4 linked regions of the Drosophila melanogaster genome follow. The gene in region 4 interacts genetically with the main gene of each other region. Each region holds a gene or a part of one and is shown on either strand. Other genes may lie near its edges.

Region 1 (5,745 bases), on a different chromosome or scaffold from region 4:
CATATGGAGGCAGAGAGCTTAGTTTCTCTGCGGCCTCGAAAATTCTATTAGCAAAACCCCAGCGATGCAACAATTAAAAATTTTTTTAATTTGTAAGCTAAAATATTTGTCAGCTTGGGTCAATGCGCTCTGTCATTAGTCAGAAAAAACAATATACCCAAGAAATGAGGATTATATTTGTAGGTACATACATTTTATTTGTAAAATATTCTATTATTTTACTGTGTTTGAGAAAATTGAAATATCGCCCATGACGTCGTAGGATACCCAATTTTGAAATTTTAAATATGAGTTATTAAGGGAATATTCAGTTTTAAAACATCTGTGAAGTACGGATTGACAATTTTTGACAAAAAAAAAAATTCTTAATTGGCTAGGTTGCCTCTGGTAGCTATCCGTCATGGTGTTTTTTTTTTTTTATTACTAAGCTGTATTTTGGAGTGCCATTCTTGACTCTTTCGAAAGGATAATTTATAATATTATTTTTATTCAAGTAAGTATTATAATTTTTTTTTATAGTCGAGTTCGTCGTCTATTAGATATCCCTTACTTAGCCAAATTAACTTCGAGGGAGACAGGTTCCTGCCCCCTTCTTTTACACTTACCACTTATTATATTTATGGTATCTAAAAACTTCAAAAGTATCGGAGTGACTCGAACTACATATTTTTAGTATTTCGTTAGATGTTGACTAAAGAAAACTTAACTGCCACGAATTCAGTATACCCTTATTACGTATTGTAGAGTAGAATTCTAACAGAGGGATGAGATGGTTATATTTTCTAATAATCACATAACATGATTAACGTTTATTATACATAAATCTACAATTATTAAAGATCAAATCGGTTTATACACCAATGTTTTACCAATGATTACTGTTACCGTTATTTTGTCCTTATGTGCCCATCTCTTATAATGTATTAGTATATTTTACGCACTTTTGTAAGATGGGCCTGTTTACAATAAAAAAAGATGTAAAATTTAAAAGAATCTATAAACAAATTATTATGAGGCACTGTACCAATTATAATGGTCTGAAAATACTGCATGTATTCGCATTTACTCTTGTCAATATTAAAATCATGAGAATTCAGCTGTGTATATTCGTAAGGAATAAGGACCCAAAATCTGTGCCGACGTCCACAACCAATCCACCCAATCAGTTCCGACTTAACCGGGGTTCTTTGAAAGCCCTCTTAAGTCAACAAGCAACAATAGCAACAACGAGGTGAAACATTTTGCCCAAAAATAAAGTTAAATGCGAAGGCTAAGTCGCACAAACATTTCAAATACGTAATACATGTTTTAAAACTTTCTGCGAAGAGTTCAAAAAGCAGCGGCGAACTTATGTATGTAACAGCAGAAGTATATTAACAATTACACTTAAAAAAATTTCTTTTTCAACGATTGAATCAACGTAAGCTGGTTGAAATTCTGAAAATGCATTGCAGTTAATGGCAAATATTTTACATTATTAAAATGTAACCGTAACCTCAACCAAAACTTGCCAAATATATGTAAGTTACAACCGGCAAAACACTCAAAATGTCAAACATTTGTGGAATCATAGTGAATGCATACCACAAAAGCTGAATATTTATAGCTGTAACTGCAATAAAAGTATTTAACGTTAAATCTGCTCCCTAAGCCATTTGGAGATTTGTGTGCACTTTGTTTCAAGCTTGTGCGGAATTAAAGGAGAAGTGACAGCAAGGTTCTATGATGACAGTTCTTATTGGAAGCAGGCGACAACTTGGGCGTAGTGCTGGTAGCGTTTGAACTGGTTGAGAATTATAAATACACCTGTCAAACGAACCTATATTCTTTCAACATTTATAGCGTCAGCATACGAAAACACAATAAATAGCTCTCAGTAAGTTAGTTACAACTTTTCTGCATGATGTTTTCAGCATGAAGACGGCATATATAGACACCATGCATCTTTTCATTACACAACTAAAGAATCAGCAGAGTCAACCGAAGACCCGCTGGTGTGAGAGTTCGTTCCCCTGTGCGTCCTCAGACCACTGTTCGTCCTCTGCGAGTTGGAATTCCTGTCACGGACTCCGCTCGCAGCTTCCAGTTCGAGTCTGGAGTCCATCCTCATTCATGTGGCGTCTGGCGCACAGCTTATACTCCTCCTGACTGCTGCTACCGCTGCCTTATTCACGTTTTGCAGCCGGCCAACTGTCCGGTGGGCGGTGCGTGGGGAGGCGATTTCGGCTGGTGCGAGAGCGCGGATAGAACACCACGCCCTCTTCGTCTACTGGCTGTGCTCTAGAGCGGGAACGAGCTACTGACGCTATCAGCTGAGAGCGCCGCCATTTGCCACTACGTGAGAGCTGCGGAATGAGCGTGTGTGCAAGCAGGATGGCAGCTCATGCGCGACATCGCACTCACTCACACTGGCGCGCGCACATCACGCACGCAAACACACGGCGAACGGGGCGGTGGAGTTTTTTGGCTTCTGGCGCTGCGCTCGCACAGCGTCCAAACATTCCCAGTTTTTCAGCTGCGACGGCTGGTTGTCCTCACGATTTTGAGTAGATCAGCTGCAGACCAAAGTCGGTAGTCGAGTTTCGAATTTGAGTCGGTTTTTGTTTTTGGAAGCGGTGCGCGTATTCGATTTTTGTTTTGACTTGAGCTCGGCTGTAGTTTCGGTTTGCCAGAACTGGATCGAAGGAGAATCGACACAGAAACAGGGAGTTGGCGAAACGGATACAAAACTGAAGTTGGATCGGTAATCGCCTGCCCGGTCATAAACAACAACACAAGGGAGCACAGCCGCATACGCATACGCGCCTCTGTCTCTAATGCCTTATCAGTAACAGGCATCGTCGAGTGTCGTAGGAAGAGCCCGACAAAGGCCGACCTTTACCACTCAATTTGGATCTGATGTGCCATTCTCGCGCTGTCTCGTAAATTAATGTCATAAATTAACTTTAGATTTCTTACGCTAACCGGTGGTCGTCAGCGGTCCGAAAACGCCTTTGCGCTCGAGATACAGGGGCGGTTTCTAATCAATACAAATATCCTACCTGCCGCCGAGTCAAGTGTTTTAGTGAGTGTGTGACCCTATGTTCCTTATATTACCTTGGTGCTAAGGAGAAAGTTTAAAAAAAGCGGCATTCAAATCGTAGTTTGTGCAATAAGAAAAGGCAAGCCAATGGTGTCAATCTCTAAGACAACGCCGAAGTGATGCATGTCCGCAAAGTAATAGATCAAGTTGTGCGCACACTTATTACCGGCGAGCCTAGCCGGGCATCTAATCGTGGCCAGTGTCAAGTGTCCAATAGCACATCTAGCCGGGGTGTAGAGGATTACCCAAGACCAACGTAGCACCGCAGCCCTTTTAAGGAGGCATAAGGCTCGCAAGACACAACGCACAGCCTACACAACGACAAACATAACACGACCGACGGACATCATCCTTGGAAATAGACCTCGTGTCATTCCAAAAGACGCACATGGGCGTCTGCACCGAGGAGCGCCCTGTGATGCATTGGGTAAGTTCTGCCGCCGTAGCACATAAAATCCAAAGTTACCAGCGATAAGACTAAAAAATAAGTCATCCACCAGTCCGTCCCAGCTCACCCAAACTCTGCCCTTTGTGATTAATATTGATCCGAGCCTGGGTTACTCGGAGTTATCAATACCAGACTGAAAGCTTGCCTATCAACAGACAGCCCCACTCAATATCGATAAGAAAGCCGCTTGGGCATTTCAGATTAAAAACAGTTCCCAGAAGTGTTCAATCAGTGGCTAGTTCGCTCGTTGAAACATTGCTGTAGAACGCGGTTACAAAATTTCAATGTGATTCCCTGCCTTAATTTTTATTCATCTAACTTAGGTTAGAATCATTTAATGTTTAAGAAGGCAGATTTTTGATGATAGTCGTACTAATCAATATACAATCAAATTGGGCGGCATAGTCGTGCAAAAAAATTAATAGATATGTAGAAATCAAAATACAGGTAAAACAAATATGTACGTTTTTACGAAATTTTTGTATATATCTGATATTCGACGCGAACGTATTCAGTTTTAGAGAATAATCACCGTGTGCCAATATATACCAATTTGATATATTTTAATAGTAGTCAATTGACCTTCAAATACTAATTTTTAACGCGAATAAGGCATTTTCTACCACACAGAGATATTCTTGTACCATTTTTTTGAAAAGAACGAATTGCCTTGATGAGTTACATGAACATCTTTTACCTATTTTTGATTTTGTCATTTTTAATTGCTATTCCTATTTTGAAACATAACGCATTCCTTATACTTTATGCAAACAATTTTTTGTTACTTTACAACTTTGGTGTTTGAAATCTGTGTGTTTGTTTTAATTCCCATCTTTTGTATGTTTTCCAAATGTCATCGATTACTGTAAATCGAGATGTACGAGTATTCGAATTCTAGTCTATATATACCACATCTATATATTGTACAAGAATTGTATAAGATTGTATTGTATAAGAATAGGAAAATCGTAAATAAATTGGAAGAGTAAAATGGTATGAAACATTCGTTGAAAAGTATGTAACAGACAGATGGAAGGGTTACCGACCCTTATAAGGGATATCCTTGATTAAGGTCAATAGCCGAGTTGATCTGGCCATGTCCGCCTGTCCGTTCTTTTATTCGTCCAACCGTCCGTCCTTTTAAACGTTTTAGGAATTGTAAAAGCTGAAACCTAGTCTTGAACATTCATATTGTACTGCCGTTTTAAAGTATTTCCAAGTCCACTAAAACAAACTCCCATATCTCAAAATTCTTTCTTCCTAAAGTATTCGAAAATGTGTTGATGATGTGTTTACCTGATAAATTCGGCACATCGATCAAGTTACGAAATTGATTAAATTCGGACTATTAAAAATTTTATAAAAGTAATTTTAGAGTTTTTTTTTTCAAATTTTTATTTTTGTACATTTCTTTTTATATATAAAAGTCGAGTTCCCCAACTATCAGATACCCGTTACTCAGCTAGTGGGAATGAAAACGCAACATTTCATCATTTTGCTGGAATATCGTTAGATATCGGTGAATAAAATGAACAAAAATTTAAATTTAAACCGCCAAGAAATACGCTTTTGAAATATGTTTTGATATTTTTCATGTTTTATAAGTCTTTAAATTTTTACCGATTTGCCAAAAAACTCTTTGACATGCACAAACAGCCCAAAGCGGCCACGCCCATCTTGATGAAAATGTTTTGGTATATTTCCGTTTTATGTATGTATTGTAATACCAAGAAAATTTTTAACACACCCTTTCTAACTTATCATTCGTCTTAATTTTTTTTCCAATTTCTTTCGATATGCAAAAAAATTGAAATTTATTTTTCGCAGTCTGCCTAGCTGAGTAACCGATATCCAATAGCGAGAAATAGACAACGAATTCAAATACATTTTTTTGTAGCTGTCATTTGCCCGTAATCAAAATATCGGAAACATCAATAAGTCCTATTGTTAAGTTTGTTACAAAACTCAATTTTAATTCAATTCAATTTTTTCTACAAAAACTCAATTTTAATGTGAATAAATACAAGGGGAAATTTGCTTGATATTGTGCGCTTGGCAAATTAACACAATAAAAATATTTTTAGTGCACTAAGTATCATATACATACATATGTTTGCGATTCTTATATTCTTTAAAATAGTAGAAACTTTTTCGATCTTTAATGTATTTTACAATAATGTTAGGCATTAACGGTGCTTATTATATTATTATACGT
Region 2 (5,952 bases), on a different chromosome or scaffold from region 4:
ACTTGAGCGTGTGCCAGCCGAGCGAAATTTTATCTGGATGCCCAGCCGATCAGTTGAGAAGCTAGAGCTAGGCTACACTGAAAAAAAGTGATTTCAAATTATTTTTAAAGGTGAAACCATTTCAGAAAACATTTTTGTTGTGCTGCAAGCTGCATGCGAAGTTGTATGGTATTTTCAAAAGTGTTATTGAACAATTATTTTTTAATTTTTATGGAGATCTTAAAATGGTTTGGGATGTGTAAGTCCGAGTTGAGCACTGAGTCCGTGGCAACGCCTTCGGTTTACATTTTACAATCCTAACAAGGTTAGGCCGCCCGATAAACGGAGCTGCACTCGTTTGGTTATAAGGCTAGGTTGTGATCTGGGCTTTTCAGCTGAAGTTGCAGTTGAAGATGCAGTTGAAGTTGCAGCCGAAGTTGGAGGCTGGGGATCGGAACTTGGAACAGGCAGCTTGCAGCTGGAGGTGGCACATGCCTAACCGGCAACCAAGCTGCTATGCAAACACACACACACACACACACTTATACGGAGCGGAATGGTGGCCATGGCTACGAACTGTACATACGGAATTGCACATTAAAAATGAGCAATGGGAGTGGGCGGAATACGGAGGAATGGGAAGTGGGTTCCGAGGGTTTCGTGGCAAGCGGGCGGCTGATTCCAGCCGAGCGATGTCTTTTTCTGTGGCAGAACAAGGTTGGAATGGCCTGCGTCGCCGCTACCACCGTCTCTGCACCGGTAGAAAAATCATACTGACATAATAATAAACTAATAAAAATAATTAAAACACTGTGAAGGCCAATTGATTTTGCTTGCTCATTTGGGTACACACAATGGCCACTTAAGTTAAACAGTTTTAAAGCCCCTGGGTAATTGTCGATGGTTCTAAATTTATGCTAAGCTTTTGTATTTAAAGGGCTCAGTCTTAAATAATCTAAAACATTAAACTATTAAGGGTTGGATAGATTTTTCAGCTGACACAAGGCGATAAAAGTTTACATTTTTATGCTGTTCTCTTACCGAATTAAATACGAATTCACTATTTTCTTGCAGTGCTCCGCCGACTCTGCTTAATGCAATTCAGGCGAAAGGCGCACAAAGGGACAGCGAACAAGATGCCGAGTTGCTGATTGTGCGGGCAGCGCAGTCGACGCGGGCAGAGGTGTCCGCAAAAGCTTTTGTCGCCGCCACAAACATGGAATATGACAAGCTGGTGAGGAGTAGGATGGGATTCGGATTGGGATGGAATGGGATCGAGCTGAATGGGCTGAGAGCAGCAAGAGGAGGAGGAACGGGAAGATACTGCTGGATGGTGCCTGGCATGCAAAGCATTGTCAAGTGGGGAGCAGGCCAAGTGCTACACAAAAACCGAGCGACAAAGAAACGTCGCAGAACGCTGCCGACGCACGTGAGATGTGGATGCATTTGATGCACGGAGCGAGAAAGGGATGTAGAAATTAGTAGTTTGAAATTATTGTAAAAGAATTCTTCTGTTTGTATTTTTTAGTTAAATTAATTACTTATCCATAAATACACTGTCTAACTATTTCTAAGCCACTTAAAGGTATAATATAATCTGAAAAGACCTCTCTATTTGAAATAAAATTTCAATGGTAAATAGAGGAGCGGCTCTTGAATGTTTAAATAAAGTTTAATGCTTGCACTTTTTGTTCCAAGTGCATGATTTAAGAGTGTGTAGGCTTCCCTGTGTGGGCAGGGTAGGGAAGCCAGGCGAAAGAGCGATGGAGAGAGCGAGAGACAATGGCGACAATAAAAATGCGATCGCACAACATGCTCCACAGATAAGTTAACGCAAAGTGACAACGTACAACTTTTAATGGAATTGTCGTCGCCGACGGTGGGCGGTGGGGCGTGGCAGGGTAGTCAGGAGGGGAGTGGGGGTATATATGACATAGCCAAGAAGTCACCGCATTTGGAGCGCTGCCAAGTCAGTTGAACTATGTTTACTTTAAGGATACGGCCGCCACCTGGAAAAGGGACCTTCAAAGGCTGCCTTACACGATTCCGAATCCCCGATTCCGATCAGAAGTGGGCTGAGTGGGGGTCGACACACGAGCACATGAAAATTGCCTTCGGCAGCTACTGTGGCACAAGCTAAAGAGAGAGGATGAGAGCGAGCGCGATCGAAGAGAGAGCGCCAGCTGCTCCCATTGGAGCAGCTAACGTTTCCAATTGGACCAGCTCAAAGGGAATTCTCTCTCTCTCTTTCTCTCTCGCTACTCTCACCGCTTACTGGTCTTTCTGGTTTTTGTTTTGTTTACGATTTTCGCTGGAAGAAGAGAAGAGTAGATCGCGCTACCACAATCAGTTGCTTTTCAAGCTTGCCACAAGCAAGACGTCAGTGCGCGCGTGCTGCGATATCGAAATCGAAATAAACTTAAAAGATATCGTAATTTCAGAAATCGAGCAGAATTCATACGATCCAGGAAAAGAACCAGCTAATATTGGAATATAAAACCTACCCAGTGATCAAATCGGCGGTGCTTCAATGTGCGCGTAGTGGTCCGTAACCGTATGATGAGCCTGACTGTGCTCTCGCCACCGCAACGTTTTAAGCGAATCCTGCAAGCCATGATGTTAGCCGTCGCCGTCGTCTATATGACCCTACTGCTCTACCAGAGCGCCTACGGATATCCGGGCATCCAAGTGAGTTGCGAGTTCGAGTGGGCGACATAATCCAGCTTGCGTGGGTGTTGTTAGCGCTGCGAAACTGTCAAACGTGTGTGCTCCGCACTGATCTGCATAAGTTGCAAAGCTGCAAAGGCCAGGCAATTTGCATTATCCCCCTTTGATTCCGATCCCGATCGACGTCGACTCGTGCACTTTCATAAATCAACGCCGGCGACTTGAGTTTTGCAGCTGCGGCTTTGGCCGTTAAAAAAACCTTTTACGCCCTTGCCTTGCATATAAAACAGTTTCGGTGCTTGGCTTTTTGCGCTTTTATACCCTAATAGGGGGTATCATAATTGAACACAAATTTCGGCGAGGAAGCGTTTTAAAAGGATATACCCTACGATTGGTGATTGGATGGGGATCGGTATCACGGGGAATTCATTTGGAACTAAGGACTTGATTGCTTTAGAAATTGTGCAGAAGTTTATGTAGAGGTAGTGCCTAGCTTAGTGGTTTGTTTCAAAAATGGAAATATGATCCTGAATTTATTTGTTTTTTTTTTTTACAATTAAGCTTATATTTGATTGATTTAAGGACAAGAGAATGTAATTCTGTTAAAGTTGATGTTCAAAGATCGGCTCGCATTATCGAGACATTATTAAAATCCTAAAATCATACCATTAGGCACTTGGAATATATTTTTGAAAATCACCAATACTTTCCAATTCCCACAAGAGTATTCCCAGTTTCGATTACCGAAGATCCAGTCAACCGTTCCTGAATTTCTTGGTTTGCCGTCGGCAGAGCGTCGCCAAAGCTTTCAGTTGCCTGATTCCAGGGCCTGTCAGGGTTCTGAGCCCTGTCTGCTCTGCCCATTTATTATTGTTCTCTTCTTACTCTTGATTTTTGCATAAATTTTTGTGTAATAAAATATTGTGTGCTAATATTACCAAGGTGTGCGCTGCGAGGGGGGATCTCATGGAGGTGAATCTCAATGGACTCGTCCAGTGGAAAACCTTGTCAGTTGCATCACAGATAACAAATAGTTGAGGTCCGTGGGAATGGCCTTAGTTAGCCTCCTATTGCATTGCAAACACTTTTTGGCAGGGTTTTATGCGAACAGGCTATTTTTAGAACCCTTGAAATTCGAACTATGTGTCCACCTTCTAGGATTATCATATTTTAAAAACTTTAAATGAAACGACGCCATAAGAAAATAGTGCACATATTTTTAATCAGTTGCATATACAGATTCCTCAAAGTTTTCTTCCAACATTTCTTTATATAGTTCGATTTTTGTTAAATGAACCCTACTGCTGTAGTTATACCTTCAACTGTTACAGCTCCCTAACTAAGGCTTACAAATTTCATAATATTAGTGATTCGAGCCGCTGGCAATAGAGTTAAGAGCTCATAATTGAATCAGCTGCAGCATCCTCAAAAATATCCATGTAATCCCCTTGCCCTTCACCACCTTCCGGCTTCTCAATTTGCAACTCAATTGCCCAACTTCGAGGCTTCGAGGCGAGTTTGTGGAGGCTCCCCTGTAATGTTTTCGCATGCTGCTGCTAGTGTAATTAAAAACTTTATGTTGTTTTAATTCGGACAATGCTGTTGACGTTGTGGCTCTTCCAGTTGCTCTACTCTTTTTTTTATTTTTGTGTTCTGGGGCTAACCGGAAACTTGGCAGGAATTAGTGCTACACACACATCGCACTACTAAATACTGAGCCGGATAAAAAACTGTCGACAACTGCTGTACTGTTGTTTGTCTTTTCAATTGAAGTTCTGTTCCATCGGAGGTCTGTGACTTGTCCCAGTTTAAAAACTGCATGCCGCGTACAATTTGCTTAATTCTTTTCGTACTTCGTATATGAGTGTTCTCTTTTTGTTCCTAAATGTTGCGCAAAAAGTGCTGCTTGTTGACTTGACATGACTTGGCTTGGCTCGATTCTTCGAACTGTTGAACAGCTAAACAGTCGACTGGACACATACTCGCGCTAAACTGGGCTTGGCATTCGCCTGATAAAGCAATAATTTCGAAATCGGGCGGGGGCGGGGCGGGGGTATTGTCATGGGGGTCTCCATCAGCCCCACAACCCTGCCTATCCAAGATTCCCAGTATCTGATGTCTCATGTCCAGTTGCAGCTCACGTCGCCAGGTCGCCAGGTTGGCATGTCGCGTGTTGCTGACGCATAAATCATAAATGAAACGAAATGAATAATAATCGTCAAACGATTTGCTTGTTTATGAATTTCTTTAAAGTGGCGCGCCAAATGGCCACCAGTCGCTGATTGATTTGAGTAGTTTGTTGTGGCTACACTGTGATCAGCTTACCGATGACACATCGATATGGATAGTAGATTACTTACGTGCATTTATGAACGTGCACAATATAGATTTTTTCTGTAATGACATCTAATTCTTCTTCTAAGATATCCGAATTTATTTTCCAGTATGGACTTTCAAATATTTTTGACGAGTGCATGGTAAATACATAATAACATTAACAAACTCCTAAGCTGAGGAGCATGCAAATCAGCTTGAGGAAAGCAACAGCCACAAGAAGCCTTCGAGGCAGCCCGAGAGACAAAGACCACGATGATGATGATGATGATGATGTGATTCCTGTTTTTGGCCAGGCCAAAAGCAGGTGCTTGCTCTTCACTTCCCATGGCCAACTTAATGCAGCTGGTTGCAGCTACCTTTCCGTGGCCCCTCGATCCACAAAGCCCTCCTTCTGCCCGCCGCTCACGTAATCAGCCCGAAAAAGTTGACGACATTAAGCCGCGGAAGGCGCCTGATAAAAGGAGTAGTATCTGCAGCTGGGCAACCGAGTAAAAGATACCCATATCTGGGTATCTGGGTATCTTTTGGTGGTCGCTTAATTGAGCCTGGATGCTCGGATGCCTGGCTGCTGAGCTGCTGCTGTTGTTGTTGTTGTTGTTGTTGTGTGTATCTTATCTTAGATTCGTATCTTACGGATAATATTGTTAAACAGCATTTAATGAAGATTTTCCCGCTCGCCCAGCTGGAGGCGAACGAACGGTTCTGATTGCATTTTTTCGGGAATGCCTTTGATTTGTTCGATTTCGCTGATTTATGCTTTCCGTTATGGCGACCAGAGTTTAACTCAATTAATCTTCCCAAAGGTCGCCTGAGAGGGGTAGATTCCATTTGGCGCCCTTTCATATTATTCACTCGCACCTCTTCGCTCGATTCTTATGGTTTGCTCGTTATTAATTGACATGGAAATGTTTATAAACATATTAATCACGCGGCTAATGAAGCATTAGTCATTCGAGTGGGCGTAGTGGG
Region 3 (5,506 bases), on a different chromosome or scaffold from region 4:
ACACAAACAAACAAAATTGAAATTGAATTGAAAACTATATTTTTACGGGATGCTACAGTATTATTGCAATTTAATCGATAATCCCCAAGCCGCAAAAAACTAAAAACAAAAAGATGTCCAAATATTGGTGATTTACGAGTAAAGTGAATAAAATTAGAAAAACCACCAACATATATATATATATATATATATATAGTTCCCACTTTCCAACTTTTTGATCGGGTTTTCAGTGGCACAGCATTTCAGCATCCATGTGAAAAGTTGAATATTTTTTTGTCTAGCCCTAAGCGCGTAAATGATATTTGAACTTAAATCAATTATGTAAAGAAGCAAATGAAATATTGTATATCGTATATATATATATATATATATATATATAGAGCATAAATGTGTATGTCAACGCTTGAATTAAAAAATGACTAGCTAAGATTAGAGAGAATGTTTGTAATTTTTTTTTTTTGTCTGCCTAGTTTAGGTTTAAGCCTATTTATAGACGTAAATGAAGAATTTTAAAGGTAAAAAGAAAAACTTAAAAAGCTTAGAAACAATTTGTAAAACATTTGAGCGATCTACCAAAAAAAAAAAAAACGCAATTAAGTGTAAAGCGTTCAATTTTTAACACGAAATGCTGCCTTATGATTCCTCGTTGGGTTCTTAATTCACTAAGCCAATACTGTAATTAATTAACTAATTTATTGTTTCATATTTTATTTTTTGTTTCTTTCGAGAATATACATATGTATGTATTTATCTAAAGTAATTCTGAAAATGCTTAAAAATAATGCCCGTTCGTTTAAACTGATTTATACACTCGAATCTAATTCTATTCTTTCCGTGGGCCAATTGCGCCGAGCTTTTTAACTGGGATAGCGTTCCGAAAATCGGAGATAAGTATGGTGTTACATATTTTTTTTTGTTTTCGATAATTGTCAAACGATTCAATTAAGCGTTCAATTATATAGACGTTACACACGAAACGAAATGAAATTCAAATGAAATCCTATTAAGCCAAGTAAAGTATGATAATTGCAGGAAGCGGAGTTGCGAAAAAAAAAGGTACGGAAAATGAAAACTAAGAACGTATTGCGGGAAAACCTAACTTAAGTCGAGAACAACTCAAATTAGTTGAAATAAAGATACGAGAACAAAAGGAAAATAAAATACTTAAAAAATGCTACAAGTGCGTTTTTCAATCAAATTTATGCACATTTTTTTCCAGTGCCTACGAATTTTACATTGTCGAATTTTACATTATACATAGCGTAATTTCTACGAATCTTACATTGTCGAATTTTACATTTTACATAGCGTAATTTCTACATACCGCTATGACGGCACTAAAGCGCCATTCGGCGAAATGGGGAAACTACTCATGCAAGCGGCTCGGAGCCCGGCTAACGTTATTTGTTCACCAACCGATCTCGCAACGCTGCGAAAGAGCGCGCTGCCAAAATGGCTCCCCGCCATACGGTATCTTTTTCTTGCACCGACGCGGTCACACTGCCGATTTGAAACAGATCGCTTTTTTCCAGTGGACGAAACGGTTGTGAAAGCGGACGAGCGTTAGGCAGACGAACCTGGAAAGCGCAGAGCACAGTTCTCAACATTTATTTTTTTTTTGAATGTGTGTGCAACAACGCACGTAAAATCGCGCTGCCAACAGGATATACAAACAAATCAATTACACAGCAAGCAAATGCAATGAAATGAAAAGGATGGCCCCAGCGGGAAAGCCGTTCAGCAAGAGCAAGGAGTGCCTGTCGCAGGGATAGCAACGAGAGAGCGACACAGAGAGCGAGAGAGAGAGAGGGAGAGAAACAAGGATTTTCGAAAAGTGTATCTACCTCGAGTCGCGCGTGTGTGAGAGTGAGACGAAAGCCGAGTGCAAGAAGCGCAAGAGGAAGAGAGCAATACGCAAGCGTGCGGCGTCGGTTTGAATTTGAATTTGTGGCTCGATCCTCGCGAAGAGAAAAGCAAGCAAAAGATACACGAAAAGCGTTCTTTTTTTGCCACTTTTTTTTTATGTTTCAAAACGGAAAATGTCGCCGTCGTCGGGAGAGTGCCTCCTCTTAGTTTATCAAATAAAGCTTTAAAGTCTGAAGTTCAAAACTATAAAAAACAAAAAAAAAAACAAAAAAACAACAAACGCGCTAAAACAAAAAATTGCTTAAACTACTGAGACTAGCATACTAAACCTAAACTCGCAGTTAAACATATCCTCAAAGAGAGACCAAAGAGGAGCGCTAAAGAAACCGAGAAGCGAGTAGAGGTGAAAAACTGGAAAAGTGGTTAACTGGAAAACTGGATTACAATGCAATCGCAGCGCAGCCGACGTCGCAGTCGCGCACCAAACACTTGGATTTGTTTTTGGATTAACAAAATGCACGCCGTTGCGTCGCTGCCGGCGTCGCTGCCTCTGCTGCTGTTGACGCTGGCGTTTGCGAATTTGCCAAACACCGTTCGCGGAACTGGTGAGTAAAGCGGAGACGCCGATCAGAACAACTAGGCGGGGGGAGGGCAGGGTGACAGGCGGGGTCGCCCGAAAATAGGGTGGGTGCACAAACTGGAATTCCAGGAGGCTCAAAACGTTCCAAAACGCTTGCCAAAGAACGGTTTTTTACAGAACCAAAACTATGAGATAAGATGATCTTGTATAGCTGAAAGATGTGGATCTCAACTAATAGTACTGAATCGCATAATTGTTTGGTCTTAGATGTCAGTTTTAAATGGAGCATACTTAGTATGAAACAACTAAAATTGCAATTACAAAATATACATACATTTGCATTGGACTAGTTCCGCTTAAACCCGTTGGATAGATCGCTACATTGCATAGCTAGGAAATGTTGGTCTATAAAATCGGATGCATTCGCAACACATATAAGTGACTGAGCAAACCCATGCAACTGTAATCCAAAAAGGAAGTGATGCTACTTAATCTGCTTAATAAGCCTATAGGATTGTTGCAAATCCTACCTTAAAGAATTTCACTTTAAACGCAATCGTCGGAATCCGCTCCCAAATGCGTTCTCTGTGTTTCTCCATTCCCTTTTCGATCCTCTTCGTTTGTCTCCCTTTTGGGCAGCTCCTCTTCGCTCTTCGCCTTCCTTTTCATGGCTTGTATTCACCGCGCTTCCTTTTGCGCTGTCTTCCTTGGCTTCGCTTTGTTGTCGCTTTTCGGACAGGTGGTCGTTTTTTTTTCCTCTCTCTTTCTCTCTCTCTCTCTCCTTGTTGTCTCGCTGATCTCGTTCTCGCTCTCGCTCGATCGCTGTCGCTGTCTCGCTCTCCGCCGACTGCGCATGCTCTCTCAGATTTGGAAACCCACCTTTTCGAAACAAGAAAGACCGTTTTTACCGTCGGCAAAAGGCGAGTTTTTCCATTCCCCTAGCACTCTAGGCACTCTTTCCTTTGTGTTTTCTCACTGCGCTATTTGCTCGCTAGTAGTGAGTGGCCAACTTCCTTTCCAGCTTTGGAAGCGAACTCTCCTCCTCCACACGCTGTGTTGTGCCGCATGCACATGGGGCTTACTTGGGTATTTGCATATGGAGCGGTCGTTGTCTAATCACTGAACAAACACCGAATCGTATCGGATCGGATCGGATCGGTTGTAGGTGTACTTAGGGTCGATTGCCCCAGTAAAATGTCAACTTTCCATGGAACTCGAAATCTCTTCGACGGAATTCTCGGCTCAACGATGAGAAAGTATGGGGAATGCAGCTCGATATCATAGTATTTTGAAACAAATTTGATAATGTCAGAGAATTTTTTGTTGTTTCATTATTCGAAAATCTATCGAAATCCATCAATCCATCAAACGTTTAAAAGCAATTAAATGATCATTACTAGAAATTTGATCCCTGAGCACTGGGCAACTTTATTATTACGCACTCCATGATCTCTGCTATTTTTTTTATATTTTTTAACAGCTGCAACCGAAGAGCGTTGAACTATTATGTTTATAACTTTTACCTGGGCATTTCCTGAGCTCGAGTTTCCGCCTCCTAAACTCTTTTTTTTTCTGGCTTTATTAGCCATGGGTAATCGTGTGATCTTTGCAGTTTTAGCCAAAGGAAGTTGTAGTAAAAGTTAAATAAACGGTATAAAAAAGTATACAAATGCATATGCATATAAAGGTGAAAAAAATGCTGAAAGTAGTAATAATAAGAGTGTTAATTGATGCCAGGATATATTGCAAAAACAAAAAGGGCATCCTTTGCATTCAGTTCACTTCATTCTACTACTGCGCTAAGAAAAAAGTGTTCGAAGATGGAAAAAAAAAACCAAAAAAAAAAACAAAAATCTCTCGAATCTTCATGTACATTTTTGTACCTATTAAGTTCTCACAAATTTACGCCCCATTAGCTCCAATCCAAGTTTGTTCAACTTTGTGCGATCGAACGCCTGCATTTAGCCACAAATTTAGGGTATTATTTTTTTGCAGGTTTAATGTGGCACGTAACGGTTTCGAGAAACGAGAACCAGAACCAACCACCGCATTCGATTTCATCATATATGTACACAACCAGGCGCATATAGAAAGAATGTAGTTGGAATAAACGACAGCTGGGCTCCTGGAGCCAAAAGTGAAACAGCAGCAGGAGAAGCAGGAGCAGCAGGAGCAACCCCTGAGTCCTGGCATATTGCACATGCGCGTCCTTTTTGCTGTTTGTTCAAAGATCAAATTACGATATGCTATGGCATGGCATCGCACGGCATGGTGTTGTTGTTTGTATCGTGAGCGAGAAGGGAAATGAGCGGGCATAGAGTAGAGATACTTTTGTATCTGCGCGCTCTCTCGGCTATTTCCTGTATATCCTGTGCGCACCCCAAAAACCAAAGAAGTAAAAACCGAAAACACATTTCTTGACTTTCGTAAGTCACGCACACGGCGGATCCCTAATTAGCCCTCGCCTAGACTTCAAGTCAATATAAATATACTACATAAAGTACTATATATGCATGTACATATATACGTAAGTATGTATGTAGCTCTGGCGCATGAAGTCGGCATGTATGGCGATGCATAACCAACATGCCCATGGTTATGGATCGTAAAGTGTGCACTTTATGGTCGGAATGGATCATCCACATAAAGTTGCAACCAAATTTAATGGAAATAAAAATTTAAGAGGGGAAAATGGAGGGAGGGCACTTAAATTGAAGGATCAACTAGAGATGAGGGTAGCAATACCTAGATTTATGTTCTTAAAAAGGAAGAGTACATGAAGTCAAAACTAGGCAACATTAAGTAAATACCATAAATACCATACACTATACATTTGAATAAATAATGCATTAAATGATCATTAAAAGATGTGAGAAGCAATTGGTAAGAATGCTTCAGTTAGTGAGTAAAACCAAGGTAGTCATTAATAACCAACTCAAATTGAATTCGAATCTCAATACCTCAATTCCATCAATATAAATAACTTTGTACTGTATGTCTGAGATGCATTTATAACACCTAAAGCAAAAAACCAGGCCAATTCCCACGAATGCAAACCCA
Region 4 (5,821 bases):
CCGCAATGGTTTTCGGGAAAAGTGCTGCCCCCTTTGAGCTCAGTTCCAATTCCCATTCTTTTTCCAATTTCTTTGGCTCGAGTATTCTCTGAAGTGTCCGTAACTTTACGCTAAAAATATTGCCCATAAATCTCCTGACCCGGCTGTGTGCCAATAAAAGCCTTCGTAAACAACTAACCTAAGGCAATGATTCTCCGGACGAAGGGCGGCCACTATGTGGCAACCACTAAACCACCAGAAACCACTAACCGCAAACAGCCACCACAACGGCAGCAGGAGGAGTGAAAAATTAAAAAAGAAAAACGAGGAGGCGGAAAAAACACTTGAAAAATCTGTCATAAAATGTTGAGTGGTGTAAAACCAACTGGTTGAAATTGCCAACATATTTGCCTGTTTGTTTAATGAACTCGCCCAACGAGGGTTTTTTTGGTTTGAGGGGGTGAACCTTTGTCAAGAGGGTGGGTTTAACATTTTGATTACTCAATATGTTTGATTTTATGGATTTATGCCACCGCTCTGGTCCACTTTTGCAGCTGTTACATGTGACAGTAAAACCAAAAAACACAAAAACACTTGGCCGGAAAACGAAAGCTAATCCCAAAAAAGAAATGCCATCAAACCCGAACAAGTGTCCAACAAGCCGCCAACACAGAGTGCCCCCAAATTATGAGAGACGCGCACAAAGACACCTGTAAGTCGTTGTCTGCTATTAGTTGAAATCAAAACGAAAACAATGTAAGCCACAGTGAGCAAAAATAATATCTCTGGGGAGCACCAGCTCGAAGTCTCTGGAGGCTGATGGCTGAAGGCTGTAGTCTGCTGGCCACCAACGCAAAGCTGGTCGTCGCCTTTTAGCCAATTTTGATATAACTGAAAGCGTCAATTATACGTGAAATTTATGATGCCGTGTGAAGAATAACACCAACTTGCAACATATTTGGACAACGAAGCCGTTGCCATTGCCGCTGGCAGTTGCCTTTGCCGTTGCCGTCTCGGTGGCCCGTACAATTGCCGCTCTGGGGTCTCTTGTCGCAGATATGTAAGCTGATAATGGGCATTGTAGTGCAGTTTTTCTTCCATTTCTTCTGTTTTTTTTTTCTTCTTTTTTTTTAAGCGAGAAAAGATGACAAAGGAGCTGGGAGACCGCTGCCCAGTACGCCCACCAAATAGAGGAGGATGGAGACCCAAATGGCCAGGGAGACGGCTAGAGAAGACATTTTGGGCACACACCAAGTCAATTTGTTTTATCTATTGTCGAACAAGAGTCATGTCACAACGGCACAATGAGATTTACTATGTGTTGTTGCAGTTGTTGAGGCAGCAGCAGTTGTTGCTGCTGCTGTTGTTGCTGTGGTGGGCAGACAATGGAAAATCAGCAACATGATTCGATATTTAGATATGCGCCTCAAGAAATATGAGCCGCTAACAACAACAGTAAGGTAGGCAGCAGCAACAACAAAGATGCTGCCGCCTGTCTTGTTGGCCGCATGTAATTGCCAAGTTTGTTGCTTAAGTCTTTTGTTTTGGCTGCACTGATAGGCCAGTTGCATTTAAATTTGATTTATACACTTTTGGCCAGCAGATAATTGGATGGAAGTCGCCGCTCTGTCTGTGTGGTTAATAATTGGCCGATGCTAGTATCTTTCGATTTGGTTCCCAGCCGTTAAAGATTGTGGGAGCGTTCCTTCATATTAGGTGTTAATTGCCAGTCCCTTGGAGCTACTAGATCTGGAGCACACACACACATACACACACAGCCCCAGAATGCACTTATTGGCATAATTAAGTTGGAATCGTAAAAAACGGCAGCCGAGAGCCTCGGGCGCGCATGCGTGCAGCAGCCGAAGCGGCAGCAACTCCATTAACTGCCGATTCTGATTCAGATTCCGGGCCCCGGGGCTATATACAGTCGTACGACCAATCAGCGGCTGGCTAAAGAGCACTGCACGAAGAGCAAACTGGTTTTCTTCAAAGAGAAGCACAGAGAGAATCGCTGCGAGTTAAGCTCTCGGGATCGACGGCAACTTGTGCCCAGAGGCAATCAGTCGTTAGTCGAAGCCTGAAGCGCACGCAGCACTCAGCGGAAGTCGTCGCCAGTTTATTTTGAAAGCGGTTTCGGTGGTTCAGACCGAGCCACAGTTCTCTTAAGACTGCAGATCACCACCACCACCACCACCACCAGCAGCAGCAGCGACAGCTCACCTCACCACCTTTACCACCACCAAAACCGCAGCTCTCTCGCGTGACTTGCTCCGCCCCGTGAATGGATGCTGCTCGAGGGCTGGAAATGCCGCAGGATTCGGTTAACGCGTTTAGTCGAGCGCCGTGCTTCGAGCGGTGATGAGCCCCTTTTCTGTCAACGGTAAAACCCCTCCTCGAATTGGATTATTGTGCACCCAAACTGAACGCCACCGACCATCATCCATATAACAATTGTGAAAGTGTTTAATGTGCCGCAATCGAATTAAATTGCTTGCTGATTACAACAAATGATGAAGAGCAATCAACTACAAATGCTCGGTGGAAGAAAAGCAAATCGAAAGATCGACAATCAGCCGACATTTTGCTATGTGTGTGTTTCCATAGTGTGTGATTAATTTCTGAGCCCAGATCGTGTGAGCTAAGGAAAACGGAAATACCTTTCAATTAAATACAATACATTAATATATCAAAATACAATGCCGTCAAAATTGTGTTTAATCAAAGGCGAAAAGTAAAAGTGCAAACAATGTGAATATGCGAAAACGAGTGCCCCATTCCGGGGGAATCGCTGGCCACAGTGTGCTCCATTGATAACGCACACAGGGACGCAAAACAGGGACACAAACACACGAAGCTACAACTACGAAGTGGAATTGAAACATGCCAAGTGAAAGGGAGAAAGAATGAAAACATCCGACTAGTTCATAATGCACGCAGATAATACAAATAATAATAATAATGGGCGCACATAGAGAAATTTCCACTAGAACTTAATAAGTGGGATTCCCAAACAACCTATTGAAAGTATTTGACTTTCTAAAAGCGATGCTTAACACGGATTTTTTTTTCTAAATTTAAAGAATTTTGAATTGAATAACAAATGTTTTATTAGAAAGTTAAAGAACTTTCCGTATAGATGAAGTAGTGTAGTTTTCTTCTGTGCACCGGGAGAAAAGAGAGATTGTGAAATCAGTTTGGTTCTGAATGGGTGGTACGAGCATGGGAAAGCCCCTGATCAAGAGAGCGCGGAAAATGCTCGATGCACTGCTCAATGATTTACCATATGCAACGAATAACGGATCTAGCACGGTCCAAAGCTTATTCAGATCGTTAAGTTCAAGACGGTGATCTGGTTGCACAATTATTTGATAAATCAGAGTATATCCAGAAGTTACTAGAAATAGAAATGGATACACGGTATACTAAAGTTTTGAGGCCGCTAGAAGTTCATTCATCGTTTTGCAAATTGCCAAGAGAGAAGAGTGAAAGTAGCGGTATTAGGGGGTATTAAGGGGGAGGTAGCTGCATCATCCACTTGCAAAAGCCACTTCCGGTCATGCCCTGCAGCAGCAGCAACATCCACATCAGCGGCAGCAGCAGCAGCAGCATGAGCAAGAGCGGCAGCATCTGGGTTTCGATTCAAAGTCAACGACTTCCGTTCCGTGCCAAAGCCGGGAGGAGGCCCCAAGCAAATTACTTAATTAAATGGACAATTAACACCCGAGCAGGAGGAACCGGGGCGGGCTGGGGGGCTAAAGGCCATGGGAGGATAGGATGGCCGGAATGGCAAAAGCAGCGGCAGGGTGGGAAGAATGAGTAATGTGAGCAAGAGTGAAAATATCTGTAAATTAATATGCGCACAAGATGCAAATTGTTTGTGGCCAAAGACACGGCTCCATAGTCGCAGCAGCAGCAACTGCAGAAGCAGCCACATCAGCAGCGGCAGTAACAGCGTTAAATTAACATAAATTGAATTGCATTTGCATTTGCTGCACGTTGCCGCTTTTTGCGGTCTGGCAAAAGTAAATGTTGCTGCGGTGGCTGGTGGCACTTGTTGCGGCTTGCTGCGGTTGCCGCTACTGCAACTGCAACTGCAGCAGCAGCAGCATCATCTGCGTGTCAATTAGCGTTGATGATGCACAGTGAAATAGATTTTGCGCAGCCCGTTTCAATTCCAATTCGTTCGACAATTGTTACAGCTAAAGATCTACAAAACATCAGCGCCTATCAAGTGGAAGTGTCAAGTGTGAACAAAACAAAAACGAGAGAAGCACATACTAAGGTCCATATAAATAATAAATAATAATTGTGTGTGATAACAACATTATCCAAACAAAACCAAACAAAACGAAGGCAAAGTGGAGAAAATGATACAGCATCCAGAGTACGGCCAGTTATTCAGCTATCCAGAGCAAGTGTAGTGTGGCAAAATAGAAACAAACAAAGGCACCAAAATCTGCATACATGGGCTAATTAAGGCTGCCCAGCGAATTTACATTTGTGTGGTGCCAATCCAGAGTGAATCCGAAACAAACTCCATCTAGATCGCCAACCAGCATCACGCTCGCAAACGCCCCCAGAATGTACAAAATGTTTAGGAAACATTTTCGGCGAAAACCAGCTACGTCGTCGTCGTTGGAGTCAACAATAGAATCAGCAGACAGCCTGGGAATGTCCAAGAAGACGGCGACAAAAAGGCAGCGTCCGAGGCATCGGGTACCCAAAATCGCGACCCTGCCATCGACGATCCGCGATTGTCGATCATTAAAGTCTGCCTGCAACTTAATTGCTTTAATTTTAATACTGTTAGTCCATAAGGTAAGCAAACCAACCAACATGCAAAAAACGATCGAATCCCCAAAGCAATAATCGCAAAAAGCCCCAGATCCAAATACATGCGGGTGTAGTGTCTCGTCAAAAAGGCCAAAAGAAAACAGACAAAGTTGATTCAACCCATGCGAATTGGCAATGGCTGAGGGCAAAGTTTTGATGGGGGACGTAAATAATGATGATTTTTGGGTTTATTTTTTTGAGTGATTTATCAACTCCGCATCCCGAAGAGCTGTCTTTAATGAGAGCTCTTACGCTGGAATTTTCTCAAAGCAGTAAATCAAGCATATGTCAATAAACAAGATTCGTAGAACGCGTTAAAAAAACAGAAATCATTTACAGTCTTAAGTTATTTAATAAGATTGAAAATGCTGAGATTAAAATAGAGGATATATTTTCCCTGTTCAATTAATGTATCCATTACGTTTTAAAATATCAACAAATCTACCAGCATTTTGATAACTGCACTTAGTCAAAATATTCCCCAAGTTTTAACCATTAAACTGGCATTTAAATAAAGTCATTCTCGATTTTTAGAAAAAGCCTCTGACTAAGAATTCTGGGCTTAAAACGATCGCATGGATGAGGACCCCTCGAAAAGTGATCCGCCAGATTAGTGGGCAGTTCTATCTACGAGAACCATCTCTACGAAATGGTTCCCACATGGCAACGGTAGTCGAGAATCGGAGGAGCTAGGTGGTTTTCGGGGTGTAGCCGTCATAAAGTGTTACACAAAGTGCCTAAACATGTATTGAGATGCCAGCGGAGATGCCCCGAGCGGCAATTAAAAAGGCAAAGAGTCGGAGAGCCAACGGCAGCCAACGGTTCAGAAATACATAAAAATTAATCGTTGGCCGGAAAGTTATAGGTAGTTTGAAGGAGCGGGGCTGGCGAGGGGTCTTAACAACAATTTGATTAATACGCCAGAGATCTCGAGAGCCAGACATTAGAATCCGAGGAGCATGCGAGTTCGAGTCCCAGTCCCCAGAAGAGCATACCGGGATGTGTC

The links.
Region 1: of Ser (region 4) and ap, changing one suppresses a phenotype caused by changing the other (phenotypic suppression), as found in Drosophila melanogaster (2 studies listed by BioGRID).
Region 2: of Ser (region 4) and fng, changing one suppresses a phenotype caused by changing the other (phenotypic suppression), as found in Drosophila melanogaster (5 studies listed by BioGRID).
Region 3: of Ser (region 4) and N, changing one suppresses a phenotype caused by changing the other (phenotypic suppression), as found in Drosophila melanogaster (3 studies listed by BioGRID).

The regions. Positions count from the first base shown.
Region 1 is NT_033778.4:5,723,585-5,729,329, reverse strand, and holds the start of ap (apterous), read left to right. Parts: upstream 1-2,497; 5' UTR 2,498-3,470; coding exon 3,471-3,509; intron 3,510-5,745. UniProt on the Drosophila melanogaster protein: Required for the normal development of the wing and halter imaginal disks.
Region 2 is NT_037436.4:20,945,885-20,951,836, reverse strand, and holds the start of fng (fringe), read left to right. Parts: upstream 1-2,324; 5' UTR 2,325-2,535; coding exon 2,536-2,667; intron 2,668-5,952. UniProt on the Drosophila melanogaster protein: Glycosyltransferase involved in the elongation of O-linked ligands to activate Notch signaling. Possesses fucose-specific beta-1,3-N-acetylglucosaminyltransferase activity; extends the O-linked fucose on the Notch EGF repeats.
Region 3 is NC_004354.4:3,133,357-3,138,862, forward strand, and holds the start of N (notch), read left to right. Parts: upstream 1-1,513; 5' UTR 1,514-2,311; coding exon 2,312-2,471; intron 2,472-5,506. UniProt on the Drosophila melanogaster protein: Essential signaling protein which has a major role in many developmental processes. Functions as a receptor for membrane-bound ligands Delta and Serrate to regulate cell-fate determination.
Region 4 is NT_033777.3:27,190,485-27,196,305, reverse strand, and holds the start of Ser (serrate), read left to right. Parts: upstream 1-2,038; 5' UTR 2,039-2,362; intron 2,363-4,181; 5' UTR 4,182-4,563; coding exon 4,564-4,800; intron 4,801-5,821.